Drosophila melanogaster: one gene and its partners. The protein of the gene in region 1 interacts with the protein of each later gene in a pairwise test. Each region holds a gene or a part of one and is shown in the gene's direction. Other genes may lie near its edges.

Region 1 (4,176 bases):
CCCAATTCATACTAAGATTTATTTGTTCAAAAGCAATATAAAAATATATAAGAAAAATATACTTAAGGTATCGCATTTCTAAACGCCTATTTCCTTTCAGATTATTTACTGGGACGAGCAGTCACTCTTCATGGAGCACCGCTTTGTGCGTCCATCGGACAAGTTCGTGCACTGCATCGCCATCTGCCGGCAGCGGGTGATCGACGTGTCCATGGAGGCGGTGATGTCGGAGCTACTGCCCAGGACCTCCTCCAACGGATTCCGGGCGACGGTGCTGACCTCGCTGGCTGCTCCGTCGCCGGCAGCTGGTGGCATAAGCAATCCCGCGATGGACACTTCGCTGGCGGAGAACGGACATGGGACGACGAGCGGTGGAGCGGCGGGCACGGGTGCCACGGCCAGCGCGACCGCGGCGCACTGCTTGAAGCTGAAGCCCTCGCTGCCGCCGGAGTTGGCCAAGTGGATCGAGTACAACGATATGTCGAGCAAGAATCTACGCAGTGGCTGCTGACTGGAATCGTTGGAGTCGCCGGAAGCGGATGCGCAACCGGAAACGGAAACGCCCATTATTACATGTTTTTTTTTTCTTGTCTCGCGTGCTTGTGTGTGTGAGTGTGCGTGCTAAAGTGTGCTAATGTTTAATGTCTAAGTGTGCACGTGAAATGTTTGTATTGTAAGCTATGTAAGGGTCTGTAAAACAAATAAGAAAAGCCCGCCCTCTTTTGGCCTTAACTAATGTATTGTATAATTACCCAGAGATCAGACACGCCCCCCCGAATAATGAACTAGAAATACAAACAAAACTCCTTGGTAGTCCACAGTGTGTAAGCTATGATGTACAATGATTGTTTAGTAAATGAACAAACCTAATGTGAATAATGATGAGCTATGTATATATTCTTGGGCTTTGGCGCCTAAAGGCAGGCTACACTTTGCTACCAATTAAGCAATTGGTGCACGGCTTATGGGTAATCTTGTTTACATTCACGATTAAGCCGTGCTAAAACCCATTGGTAAATATTGTGTTTAGATACAAAATCACCTGCTTAGGACTAGTGAGTATACCCCCTCTTGAACTTTCAGCAGTAGCCCTTTTAGATTTTGTATATTCGGGTAATTTGCCGTCTAAAAAATGCCAGGTGATCGCAGTTCGATGGCTAGTGTTTACACCGATCGGAGAGTAGCTATAGCTTTAAGCGTTTACCTGTGAATTTGCCTATTACGCCACACCAGAGATTCCCACACATCGGCGAACGGTCGTTGGAATCGAAATCAATCGATTGCTTAGGTAAGATGGAATTATCTGTACAGGTGAGCCAAGAAATACGGGGAAAAACAAGCGAAAGTGGGCGAAGTGGGGACATACAAAGGGGGTCATTCCAGTGTTGACCATAACTATTTGAGAAAAGTAGCTAAAATACCTATTTAACTTAGCTACTACGCTCTTTTGCGGTTAGGTCGCAATAACTGTCGAAAAGTGACATCAATCCTTGGGTCACCAGCAGTATAAATCCGTATTACAGAAGTAACAAGCTGAATTATTTGTACTAGTTAATTATAGTGTTTACTTTAAAGTTCTGCTTGTAAAACGTATTAATAGACAACAAATTTAGTATATGCCTCGTTAAAACTGTTCTATGGGGTTCAAAAGTGATATCTTAGTTTGTAAATGGTACTTTTCAGTTTAATGCTACTATATTTAACTCGAAAATTGCCAAGTTATCAGCCTTTTTTTCTTATTATTGCATAGTCGCTTTTTCACCGCTTGCGTTCAGTGTTGTTTAAGGAGATTTTTTCTAGCTTTAACAAACATCAAGTTTTCGAATACCACAAATATATAGACAAAATCAACAAGAAGTTCCTCTCGTGTGTAGTGGAGAAGTAGAACCACGTATATTGTTTTTAAAATGCGTTTTGATTTTATTTATTCGTTTGCTCAATTAACTTAGCTTAAAACATAAGTAATTATTTAATTGCCATCACAGCTGGCGTTGTCTAACTTTCGACTGATTGCTTTCTTTTGCTTCGGCATTGCGTCGTCTTCGCTCTTGCCAATCGGCAGTCTTCACTCTACAGTCTGCAGTCTACAATCTCTGGTCTTCAGTCGACGTTGGCCTTGCTTACCCAACGGTTGTGTTGCTGCGTACCGCTCCGCCCGCTTTTACCGCACCGTACCGCCCCTCCCCGCTCTTACCGATCGAACCCAGTTGGTGGTGTGTTTGGCCGAGCTTAACGACCGACTGCAAATGTAAGTATATGTATATCCAGATACTTTGCGAAGGGGTCAACCAATACAATTGACTTTCACGGCGACGGACTTTGGCGATCCGGTAAATCAGCGCCAAAGTCTGATGCACATAGAGAAATCACGGACATATCTTTGGATTTTCTTATTACATTTTTGTTTTTAAATATAATAACACATAAAATATATACAAATGGGTCTCTATTACTAGCTACTTCTTTTCTTTTCCCATCTACCAATTTAAATCTAATAATATTTTAGTTAAATTTAATAGTTATCAGGTTGACCCTAATTTCTTTCCATGTAGTAACAACTTTCGCTGCCACTAACGGGTTTTCGCCCCTCATCTTTTCAGTGGGAATCCAGACACACACAACCAGATATCGCGATGTCTTGGCTGGTTGTTTTGCTGATCCTGTACGTAATCTGGGATGTCAACTACTTCATCCGCTGCGTGTTCACGGTGTTCGCCGGCCGGCTGTTCCAGCGGAAGCGCAAGGTCACGGACACCACGACGATCTATGGACTGTGCACCTCGCAGGACGTGGACATCTTTATCCGGCACATGAACAACGCCCGCTATCTGCGCGAACTGGACTTTGCCCGCTTCCATTTCTACGCCCTCACTGGACTCTATGAGCGCATCCGGGACCGACGCGGCGGTGCCGTCCAGGGAGCCAGCAGTGTTCGCTACCGCCGCACCATACCCATCTTCCATCCGTACAAGATTCAGACCAAGCTGATCTGGTGGGACGACAAGGCCATTTACCTGGAGCAGCAGTTTATTACCCTTTCGGACGGATTTGTACGCGCGGTGGCCATGTCCAAGCAGAACATCACCAACTGCAATGTGCTGGAGGTACTGAAGACCTATCCGGAAACTGCCCAGCGACCGGAGAAGCCGGAGGAGCTCAAGCTCTGGCTGGATGCCATCGAGCTGTCCAGCCAGAAGCTGCGAAAGGACAAGTGAATCGATTGATTGATTCCATCTCCCGCAGCACAGCTCATTTACATATGTTTGCCTCATTTACTTAGATTCGTAGTCATCTTCTATTTTTTTTTTTTGAGTGCATAGTGAAGTAATTCTAGACTGGTGGGTTTTTCACACAAAAAAGAGCGTAACAAAATGTACACAAGTCATGAATCTAAACAATGGCCCATAGCAACTTAAAGACTTTATTTGCTATTATTTTTTCACTGTGCCTTAGTTATAGGAATATTGCATTAATGGAATGGCTGAAGATTTTAAATATAATTTTTTACAAACCAAAAAGTATTGTAAATGTTTAAATAATTTTAGATTGAACATACAATTTTACATCTTTCGCAGTTTGATCGTTTTATCACATATATTTCCTAAAAACGCGTTTTGCGTGGACGGGAGTCGTTGGAGTTTCTTTCACGACTTTCATTTATGCTAAGTTTGATATCACGCAACGCCAAGTCTGTGTCGATAAGTCAATGGATTGTCTTGTTTTCTATATTTTCTTTTTCGCTGTCTTCATTATGGAACAGTTAATTATGAAGACTGCATTTTGGTTATGTAATTTGAAACGAAACTGCTTTGGAACTGTTAACCTCAGAAGTTTGCAAATATTACACACAAATAAGCATAAATAATGTGTGCAAGGGAGAAAAATTGGTATCCAATATATTTGCATAATATATATGGATTATTATTTTCGTTATTATGGTTAAAACACAAAAAAAAAGTGTTTTATTTGGTTTTTTTGTTTTTCTTTGCAAAAAGGGCTGATTATTTTACTGCCCACTTAACGGAGGTTCATTGAACCAATTGTTGTCCTATGCTTTTCCATCTGCAGATAACTATTATCATACTTTATAATAATTACCATATTATCATTGACTTGGACAGCTGAGTGCCATCCGTAATCCGCAGCGTAATCCGTGACGTCATGTCGGATGCAACA
Region 2 (3,912 bases), on another chromosome or scaffold:
TAAAGATTGCATTTTCCTGGTAAGACTATAGTTTTGTGTAGCGAAATCAACCCAATGAAGTTCCAATTTTGTAATTATAAGGTATTAATTATTGTTGAGACCAAAAATAGATCCGTGAGCTGCCAAAGTATATATTTAACACTGACACTGATCCGATGAAATTGTAGATATGTATATTGTATTGTAGTTGCCACTATTTACCAAATTGGAAAGAATTCGCCAAGGAAATCGCTTGAAGCAAAAGTGCCAAATAAAAATGGATCGAGACCATCTTGAAATGTCAAAGCCTAACCGAATACTGAATTCAAAAGCCAGTTGGTCTTAAAAGTTCAAGCTTATCTCGATTGCTAAAATGATTCATGGCACGATGTCCAATCCACAACTTTCCTTGGGTTAATTATAATGGCCTGCCTGTCCGTCCGTATGAATGTCGAGATGTCGGAAACATTAAGAGTAAGGAAGCATGTAAGTTTTCTTTAAAACCGTGCCACGCCCCTGTTACGCCCTAAACTCCTAAAACGCTCACATCCTAAAAGTCTTCTGGATACCAGGAAACGTTCAAATCCTACTACTTTTAAACATATCAAAACTGTAGTAATAGATTGATCAGAGCTATATCCTTGCTACACGCCAAATTATTCAAATTCTACATATCCATATGTTGCAGGTTCATAAACTGAGTAACAGGTATCTAACAGTCGCAACACTCGAATACATTCACAGGTTTTTTGGAAATGAAGGACACCATCACCCTGATACCGCGTGACTAGAACGAGATTTATTTTTTACTTTCTCCACAATCCCAAAATACCGTTGAACAAAAAGATGATAATCAATTTCCATCTCCGTAAACAAATATAAATCCATTCTGAATATTTCAAGACACAATTTTTTTAAGTTAAAATCAAAAATCTGATTCATACCGGAACTGTGAAAAAATACTTATCACTTGTGTCACACCAGCAATATGTTATGACGTCAAAAATCCATATCTGTAAATATATCTAAGTTAGAACTTTTATTATATAGTCTATATTCATAATGGTAATGCAAATGAAAACTCTCTTAACTTCTAAAACTCTTTGTTGGTAAATGTAAATAGAAATGTAACATTTAACCTGAGTGTGTATACAAGATACAAGAAATATAAGATATGTATGTATTAGCCAGAAGACCTGAGAAAAATTTAATGGATGTTGTGTTATCCGTCAAATAAATTGTTCAAAAAATATTTAAAATATCAGCGCGATTCTTACCTGTTACTTGTAAAGCAACGCAGACTCTTAAAATTTCTTTCGTTACGCCTACTTATATAAAAGGAAATTAAAAGAATTGCTTAATATGTTTGCTTTGTTTGGCCTTGTTAAAAGAAATAATAAGTAATTCTGTGATGAAAACATTTTTAAGCAGAGAGAACTATATAGTCCAGTTCCTCGACTATCAGATACCAATTACTCAGCTGGTGGAAAAGTTCAACATTCATTTTGGCTTATCTATACAAATTGGAAAAAAAAATAATAAGATGAAAAATAGGCAAGTAACTTTTTAAAAGTGTGGGTTTGGTTTGGTTTGGGCGCATCCAACATATCTTTTGCCATACTGATAACAAATAGTAAAATTAAAAAATGTCTACACATAAAAGTGAAGACGTAGCAGATTTCAGTGTTAAAATGGGCGTGGTAAAAGGTTTTTGGCATAGCTCTAGAAATTGGCAAGACAAGTAATAAAATGAAAAAAAATCGATTCATTTTTTTAAATTGTGGCGTTGCATCATCAGAAAGAAACTGAATTTCTAATCTTAACTTTCTAGCTTTAATAGTTCAAGTTAATAGACAAGGATATCAAAAATATATACATTTTTAAACGAATCTAGTATAACCATCTACTACACGAGTAATAGGTAGAAAAATATAATTGTTTTGTGTAAAAATATCATTAAAAAATAATTCAAATGTTTAGAGAAAAAGTTTTGTATTAAATGTTTGATTGCATTCAGCGCTTTGGATTTGTTTTCAGTTGATTTCGAGAATTTGCGCACTCGCAACTCTGGCCACACCGCACGTCACGGCAACGGCAATCCTAGAACTATCTGCCACATCAGATTTTTCAAACTTTGTATACTGTTTCTCAAAAGAAAACGATGTCATAGCAAATTAAGAGTGAATCGTAAAATCAACATCGAAAGTGTTGCCGCCTCCATGTAGAAGTGACCCCGCTAAAGTCCTCGCCGCTTTACAAACGCCGCAGCATCCTCAAGACAGTTCTTGGACCAAGTGGAACGAATCCAAAGATACACATAACACTTGTGGAACGCCCACACTTGTCGAAAGAAGAATTGTAGATTGCAGCGAAGACGTGTATCTAAGATAAGTGTTAGGACGAGGTTGGGAAAGCACAAGCAAAATGGCACACACTGGCGGGAACCTATCCGGTAACATGCAGCCGCCACCGCCTTCCGGAGGCAGGTTCTCCGTGGACATGCAAAGGTGAGTAAACCGTAACAAGGAGCGAATAGCTAATTACTCTTGAACCCTGCAGCCTGCCCTCGCTATCCAACCTGCCATCACCGCTGCAGATCTTCCAAATGGTCCGAAACTCCCTGCGGCCCTGGGTAGTCTTCTTCAACATCAACAATTTCAAAACGGCCATCAGCATGCAGCGGCTAAATAGCCGGGTTATTCGGAATCTCTCCTATTTTCAGGCCAACTACGTTTTCATCTTTTTTGTACTGATGATATACTGCCTGTAAGTGATTCTAAAAACCTTATTGCACCCCATTTAATAGTTATAATCTTAAGCATCACGGCTCCCTGCATTCTGCTGGTCATCCTGGCTTCCGCTTTTGGCTGCCATAAGCTGCGCGTGCGCAACAGTAACATTACCATCGTGGGACAACAACTGACGCCCAGCCAGCAGATCATCGCACTCAATCTGGCGACGGCACCAGTGCTATTCCTGGTGGGCGCGGGTGCGGTTTTGTTTTGGACGCTGGGTGCTTCATGCTTCGTGATTGCTATGCATGCTATATTCTACAACATCGATGCTATTGTAACGGAGGAGAATGAGGGTTTCCTCGCCCAGGTTGTCTGACCGCCAGCCAGAAGCTAAACCCTAGGTCTTCTGGGATCGTGGCAACCAGGGACGAGGAAAGGGGCTAAACATATTCGCCACTATGGGGCCTTGCAAGTCGACACAATATGTTGTACACCTATTTATAACGAAATCTAGTTAAGCCGCAGACTTTAAATAATCGAAATACACACTATGACAGATTCATACGACTATATTCTTTTTGGCAAATTAATCGCAATATATGAGGCGCATTCGCTGAGAACTTCGATTTAATTCGAAAAAAAAAATTAATTTAAAGGATGTGGTCAAGTCATTGGACTCTGTGGCACTTACAATATTTCAGATATTTTCGAGCTCTTTAGAGGCATGCGTTTTAAAAATGTATTCTTTTAAATAAAGAATAAATATAAGTAACCGGAAAAAAATCGCATAGTCGGTTCTCCAAAAGAAGTTTCCATAAATAAGCTGTTTAAAATACATTGAACAAACGGCTCAATAAATCAACTAGAAATACACCACGATCGGAATTCTCTGCGATATGCACCACAAGGAAGGTAAATAAAGTTACCTAAAGTACACACATATACATAGCTCGCGTAAAACTAAGTCGGTATTTCAATGAGGTACAGGTAGTTAGAACTAGGAATGCTTTGTTAGCTGCGTAAGTCTTGGTCCTTCGCCTAGGCGTACTGGGCACTCGCCAGTGTCTTCGTCTCCTGCTCCTCGTCGCTGGCCTGCTGGTCCAGCTTCTCGAATCCGTTGCGATCCCGATCGAGAAGTCCGCCCAGCTTGAAGCCATCGCTTTTCTCCCACGCGTGGCGACGACCGCGTGCTCCGAAA
Region 3 (3,570 bases), about 15 Mb from region 1:
AACAGAAGCAGTTGATACCTTGTAGGTTGGGTATATCGATTTGAGTGAATCTTGTTCTTTAAATTCCGATTTTGTTTCGGGTTTTATGATTGATTATATAGATTAGGTAGTTCGGAAAATGTTTTCTTCTATTTAATTTGAATTTATCAACATGCTGAATAATTTTTCTTGTATTCTCTTACAATGCATTATTTTCGGAGTTCTATATTTCAGTGAAAGTTGTACCTGAAAAATTCTTAGTCTTGTAACCATGTAGCTCGGTGGGGTATCATTTTCGATCATAGTTCGCAACTAGTATAACTAGTTTTGCTGTCACTGTAAAGTGCTGGCGATTAACTTTTAATAGAACTACAATAGCATGGGAATTGCTGCTAATTACCGTAAAATTGCTGAAACAAAAAGCTTGCCAAAGCTCAATTGGATTTCGTTCTGGTAGTAAGGTCTTGAAAAATGCATTTTCAAAATTGAAACAGAAAATACGGATTAATCAAAACATTGAAGCGATAAGAAGGTCTAAATATAGTTTCAATGCGCACCTGTGTCTGCGTTGAATCATATCAAAAGTTGCCTTCAAACTGATAAGCTGGGCTTTTGATAATAAATAATCGTATATGTACTTCTGCTTGCTACCAGCCGAAATTATTCTAAAAACATATATTTATTTTAATGGTTAGGTTTTGAAATTAATAAAGCAGTTGATGTTAAGTTAAGATAAATAGGTTCAACATGTGGCATAAACACTCTATAGAGAACTAATTTAAAAATTAAAAATAGATTTGTTCAGCTGTAACAACTTATTTTGCATGTTTTCAAATTGACCATAGAACACAGGAAGTGTTATTGTTTTAGTCAGGAACAAAGTATATATTACTTAGATATATATTTTTAGTCAGAATTGACACCCAACTAAATCTTACCGTGTCTGTTTATTTCCACGTAATCGTATTTACTTAAACTATTAAACCTATTGCAGGTATTAGATAAGGCAATAACAGGCCGGGTCGGAAATGTAATTACTAATCTAATTTTATATAAACTATATAATTTAGCTGAACTAGGAGCGAGCGGAATGGGATTTGCAGTTTAACGTTCGTAAAAAATACAGGAAAAATAAATAGAAATAAAATACATTTTATTAAAACAGGACGACTGTAGTCGTCCAAGCTAGTGGTAGCTAAGTTACTATAGGTGAAGGGTATATAAAATTCGGCTTACTTTTTATGTTGCTCTAAGCTTTTAATTGCACTTAAAAAGTACAGTACTTGTAATATATTAAAAAATATATTCCATGCATTACAAATCCACTTTTATATCTGAAAAGCGTTGCAACACAACCTTACAACCTAATAATTCCCATGAAGTCCATAAGATTATTCATGATTTGAGGAAGTGATTTCCCCGGCGATATGTTTTCCATTATCCACTTGATTACCATCGGAAAATTGGCGACCCGTTGGCCCCGATTCCGCGAATTAGCTCCGATCTTGGGCCCCGAAGGTTAGGCAGCAAATTTGGGGTAATGGCAATGCGAGCACAATGAGTCCGAGTCCATTGGGCGGCTGCCCACTGTCCACTGGCCACCCACCGGCACAGAGCATGCATGCAGATACAGACATTATGCTCCACTCAATCAAGCTGGAAGGGATGGGGCTCGAGTGCAGCTGGCAGCGGAGAACGCAGACGGTCTCCACTTCAGAGATGGAACCGAGAGGCCCGGCGGACGTGGTGGACGTGGGCGGATACACAGGGATGGGAACAAGAATGAAAAGCCTATTTCCTAAGTGTAATTAATTAATTTCGCTGGCTGGGCCCGACTGCGCCCAACTGCAAACTGCAGCCGCATTTGCCTGCCATCCGTCATCCATTTCCGAATCAGAATCAGTTTGTCCAGCGCTCTGCCGTCGCGAGCACGCTCCAAAGAGGCCAATCGGAAGAACTTTGGAACTTTCTTGAGTTGCGACACGTACATTTTCAAGCTGGACCACATTTTCGAGGACTGTCAGCGGCAGCAGTTTCACAAAATGTCTCATGGCGAGCGAAAAGGCCGCCTCAATGTGGTCAAGTTTCTCGAACTGGTAAAGGATTTTTTTTTCAAGTGATTTTACTGCAAGTTCTAAGGATTAATGAATTAATGCAAAAAGCAACGCGTATGCTTACTAAACAATGGTTTGTCAAAAAAAAAAAAAAAAAAAAAAAAAACGACTTGGGAATTAAAAGAAAAGACCCGAAATACCAGATAGACTCGGAAATTATAAGAACACCAAGAAGCACCACAAATGAAAATCCCCTCACTTTTCCAGGGTTTTGCGGTAGCGTGTCTGGTGCTCCACTTCTACAGCTTCAACGATCGCGATATAATGACTTCGTTCCTGGCCACTGGCACCTTCACGGGCTACATCATAGTGGTCATCGGGGTCTTTGCAGGTACGCCTTGGAATGCCAGTCCTTAAGAGTTAAAATACTAAAATAAGTTAACCAAAAACGAAATTTGCACACAAATCTACTTAAGATACCTTGCAATTGCAGGCGTTCTGATGCGGGCACCCATTCACAAGCGCATCGATATATTCTTCAGCGTCCTGGGCTGCACCTTGTTCGTGGCCAGCGGTGTGTTCATCATTGAGGCCTGGGAGTTCTCCTTCCGCACCCGAACTCGGGATCTCGCGCTCATCAAGGCCTCGCTGTCCATCGTCAATGGGGTGCTATTCGGATTCGATGCGGTGTTCACATTTCGCGACAAGTGAATCGTTCAGTTTTTAGACGGAAACCACTGGCCAGATCCGCTGGAGCTTCTTTCGTATGCATTTAATAGCTTATAAGGGTATACATATCTTTCCGGTTCAACTGGCCATTCCGCCAATCATACAAACAACCAAACTGTTAACGTTTATCTTTATATTTAAGTGTTTTTTTTTTCTCTCAATAAAAAGTAATTCGCCATCGCTCAATTAGTCATATGAGAAAGCAAGAGTCGATACTTGCGACTGTGTGTGGTGCAGTCCCGGTACTCAAGTAATTGTTTACAGAGCGAGACACTCGACACAATACATTTGCAATACGGCTATCTAAAATAATCCTCATAATTAAAGTACAAATAATTCAATTGGAAATATAAACGGTCTAGAAAATCACTCTAAACTTATGTAGGCGATGATCCCGGCCTGCTGTTCCTGCTCATTTCACGGGAATTCGAAATACGAGCTTGTAGCACGGCACATACCACCAAATTCGATAGTCCTAGCTAAATTAGATCGCGAGATCCAGGTGTTCGCAGAACATATAATTCTAGGGTTCCGTGGATCGTAAAGCGAGAGTACCGGCAACAATGGGACACAAATGAAGGTGAGCTGGCGGCCCATTTTGTTGACATCGTAATAGTAGTTAGCGTTATTTTCTTATTTTTTTATTGTTTTTTTTTTTTTTTTCTTTTTCTAACTTTTGTATTTGCTGATAATCGTGAGACCGCTGGCTGGCTTTGTTATATTTTTTTTTTCTGAGTTCCACTGCCGAGCTTGTTGTTATCATCTGGCGCTGGGCATCTTTGGATGTCGATTATGTGTGGTGCTGAGT
Region 4 (3,060 bases), on another chromosome or scaffold:
CACGAGCTCCGACAGCGAGGAGGTGGACAGGCTGAGGCGCAGGCTTCGCAGGCTCCGGCGGCTGAGGCGTCAGGAGAGGCGCCAGGAGATTCGCCGGGAGAGGCAGCAGGAAAGGCGCCAGCAGAGTCGTGCTGGAAGAAGGCGCCAACGTAGGGGATAAACCATCGGCTTAACCCGATCGAACAATGAAATGGTCCAAATTGAAAAATAAATGCATACACAAAAGCAACAATCGTAGTTATGACTTGGTAACTTGGCACCTTAAAAACAAGTGAAATCATTTGGATCGAATTGTTAGTCAAACAAAGAAATTCAATATTCGGTTTCATCTTGGAAAAGAAGAAGAAGGCTACACTATATACTCTAATGAAGAATCCTAAGTAAATCATTTTCCGATCTAGTTAGTTGATCAAGTGGAACTGGTCTAAGTGCAGACATAATTCCAGATGATAACTTAATCGATTAGGAACTTGCAAATGAAAGTGAAAAATAGGAGTTTGTTCTAAGTTTTCTTTTAGTGAGAATTCATTCTTTATGTACAATATGCCATCTTAATCTTTATTTAAGCTTAGAGGTTATTTAAATATGGCTTTCTGTTCAAAAGGCTTAACAATACATATTCATCTATTTAATAAACAATGTACCGTGTTTGCACACATGCTAACAATACGTTCAGCCAGCCAATCCAAAAAAAAACCGTTTTGTTTAATTACTAACGAATTAGAACTTTCCACAGCCATCAACAGCTTTCGCGCTTACAGAGAAGATAGTCTCGTCTTTTTATTGAGTTTAATCTATTTGTCTTGACGAGAACGTAAAATGTACTCTAAAACATTCAAAGCAAACACAGATTCGACAATTAAAGCGAATCAAGTGGATCATCCCTATAAATACTCGGATTTAAACCACTATCCACACAGTACTCCATTTAGTGACAAACTGAGCTGAAGATGCGTTGCCAATTCGTTATCGCCTTTGGGCTTTTGGCCCTAATAGCAACTGCCTACGCCGATTCTCCACCTGCGGCAGGATCCCCACCCGCGTCATCTCCACCGGCTGGAACCCCAACCTCGCCACCTCCAGCGACTGGAACACCGCCCTCACCATCCCCAGCGACTGGAACACCACCTTCAGCATCCCCAGCTGCTGGTACACCGACCTCGCCAACTCCAGCGACTGGAACACCGTCCTCGCCAGCTACTCCTGATGCGCCCGCTTCCTCGACATCACCAGCTACGCCCACATCGCCCAGTGACAGTGGATCCAGCAGCAGCCAGGAAGTGATTAGGCTCAGGCGTCGGCTGCGCCGGCTGAGGCGTCAGCTCCGCCGCGAGAGGCGTCAGGCCAACCAGAGTAATCAGAATGGAGGTGGTGGTCAGGGGCGAGTGGTTCGCCGTGTACACCGTCACCGTCGTCTATTGTAAAATTCACGAACATGTTGGCTACGAATTTGAAATAAAATTCCAGACAGAAATGCAATAAATCTAAAAAAAACATAAATGTATTGAATGGCTTTTTAAATTAGAGGAACCATCGCTCTTTTTGTAATGCATACATTAGTAAACTAACTTATATTTGCCCAACAAACTTTCTAAACATTGCAATGAATATTTCGAATAGAAGCGTTCTAAACATTGAAATAAATATTCTGATTAGGAAGTTCGTTGCACATATTTAATTCAAAATGACCGCGAAACGGTGCTGCCAGATGTCTGAATTTCGTGCACTGCGGAGCGGATCTTCTTTCTACTAAGGCAGGAAGGGTCATACTAACACCTCCACTTCTCACCAAAACAAAGGTTACCCCGAAATTTAATCAAAATAAATCGAAATGCCGGTGGATTGGTTCGGATATGTGTACGCAGCCACGGTCGCCGCCGGAGGAATCATGGGATACGCCAAGGCGGGTAAGTGACCAGCCCCCTGACCGTGGTCATGTCCGATTGTGCAACGCCCTGCATTCCAGGTTCCATTCCCTCGCTGGGTGCTGGTCTGGCCTTCGGAGCCCTGCTCGGCTATGGCGCCCACCTCAACTCCCAGGACACGCCTCGTCCCCTGCTCCAGTTGGGCACCTCCCTGTTCCTGGCCGGGCTGATGGGCGCCCGCTGGAACCGATCCGGAAAACTGATGCCCGCCGGAATGGTGTGCATGCTATCCGTGGCCGCCTTGGTCAAGAACCTGGCCACCTATAATCGCTACCTAATGCCCGCCGGCACAAAGGCCCCTTAGGCTAATTTCCGGCCACATGCTGGACTTGCCAGGAGATTGCCCTACCTTCATTCTTCATTCGTATTGAATAGGTTTTCTACTTTTCGGTGATTGGAACTTTGGTAATGCGCTGTGTCACTTTCTAAGATAGTGATTAGGAACTGTACTTGCTGCAAATATATTTTATCACCTATGCTTTTAACTTGTGGACTTCTTTGTACTCAATTGTAATACTTGGTCACATTTAATAGCATACTTTCAGGCACTTTGGTATGACAGTTCGCATAGAAGCACAGAAATACACCATTTCGTACATTCAAATCTTTTTTTGTATATTTATTGTTTAACTTAGCTTTTGTTTCTTTTGTGTGTGTGATAAATTTACAGTTTCATCTATTATACGATGTTCAGTTAACTACAACTAAAACTTAGCTATTACATTTTGTTGCTGCATGAAAAGAGCATTAGGCTAGGTAAACGTAGAGTGATGGATTTTTTTTTTTTTTTAGAATTTAGGCTTCTAACAAGTTTATTACAATAATGAAGTGAATAATTTGAGTTTTCTGCAGGCAAAGTGCGGCAAGGTAAGTATATTATCGATTCTCCACCTTTCTAGCATTTTCCCAACAGGAAACGATAAATATTTGTTAAGTAGAGTGTACAAATTATATATGTTTATCACATTGGAAAGTGGGATTATTATTAAATTTCCTTTCGATTGATTTGTGGCTCAAGAAATAATTTAGGTTGTCTGCCGAAAGTGCGTGCATGTGTAGATGAAGTTTTTACAGAATTATATGTACTATTTTACAAAATTGTTTGCATTTTGCATTAAATTAGATTACATAATAT

The links.
Region 2: the proteins of CG4666 (region 1) and CG1418 interact in a two-hybrid assay, tested with the Drosophila melanogaster proteins (one large-scale study listed by BioGRID).
Region 3: the proteins of CG4666 (region 1) and CG15449 interact in a two-hybrid assay, tested with the Drosophila melanogaster proteins (one large-scale study listed by BioGRID).
Region 4: the proteins of CG4666 (region 1) and CG5532 interact in a two-hybrid assay, tested with the Drosophila melanogaster proteins (one large-scale study listed by BioGRID).

The regions. Positions count from the first base shown.
Region 1 is NC_004354.4:6,075,409-6,079,584, reverse strand, and holds CG4666 (uncharacterized protein), read left to right. Parts: upstream 1-1,798; 5' UTR 1,799-2,248; intron 2,249-2,600; 5' UTR 2,601-2,633; coding exon 2,634-3,215; 3' UTR 3,216-3,513; downstream 3,514-4,176. Other genes in the region: CG4660 (uncharacterized protein), read left to right, coding at 101-511.
Region 2 is NT_033778.4:9,963,208-9,967,119, reverse strand, and holds CG1418 (uncharacterized protein), read left to right. Parts: upstream 1-2,052; 5' UTR 2,053-2,403; coding exon 2,404-2,486; intron 2,487-2,538; coding exon 2,539-2,745; intron 2,746-2,798; coding exon 2,799-3,090; 3' UTR 3,091-3,285; downstream 3,286-3,912. Other genes in the region: Pal1 (Peptidyl-alpha-hydroxyglycine-alpha-amidating lyase 1), read right to left, coding at 3,753-3,912.
Region 3 is NC_004354.4:21,038,890-21,042,459, reverse strand, and holds CG15449 (uncharacterized protein), read left to right. Parts: upstream 1-1,854; 5' UTR 1,855-2,021; coding exon 2,022-2,075; exon of another isoform or gene 2,076-2,300; coding exon 2,301-2,424; exon of another isoform or gene 2,425-2,445; intron 2,446-2,513; exon of another isoform or gene 2,514-2,526; coding exon 2,527-2,744; 3' UTR 2,745-2,946; downstream 2,947-3,570.
Region 4 is NT_033778.4:23,750,999-23,754,058, forward strand, and holds CG5532 (uncharacterized protein), read left to right. Parts: upstream 1-1,755; 5' UTR 1,756-1,831; coding exon 1,832-1,907; intron 1,908-1,966; coding exon 1,967-2,229; 3' UTR 2,230-2,517; downstream 2,518-3,060. Other genes in the region: CG12491 (uncharacterized protein), read left to right, coding at 1-160; CG11300 (uncharacterized protein), read left to right, coding at 951-1,424.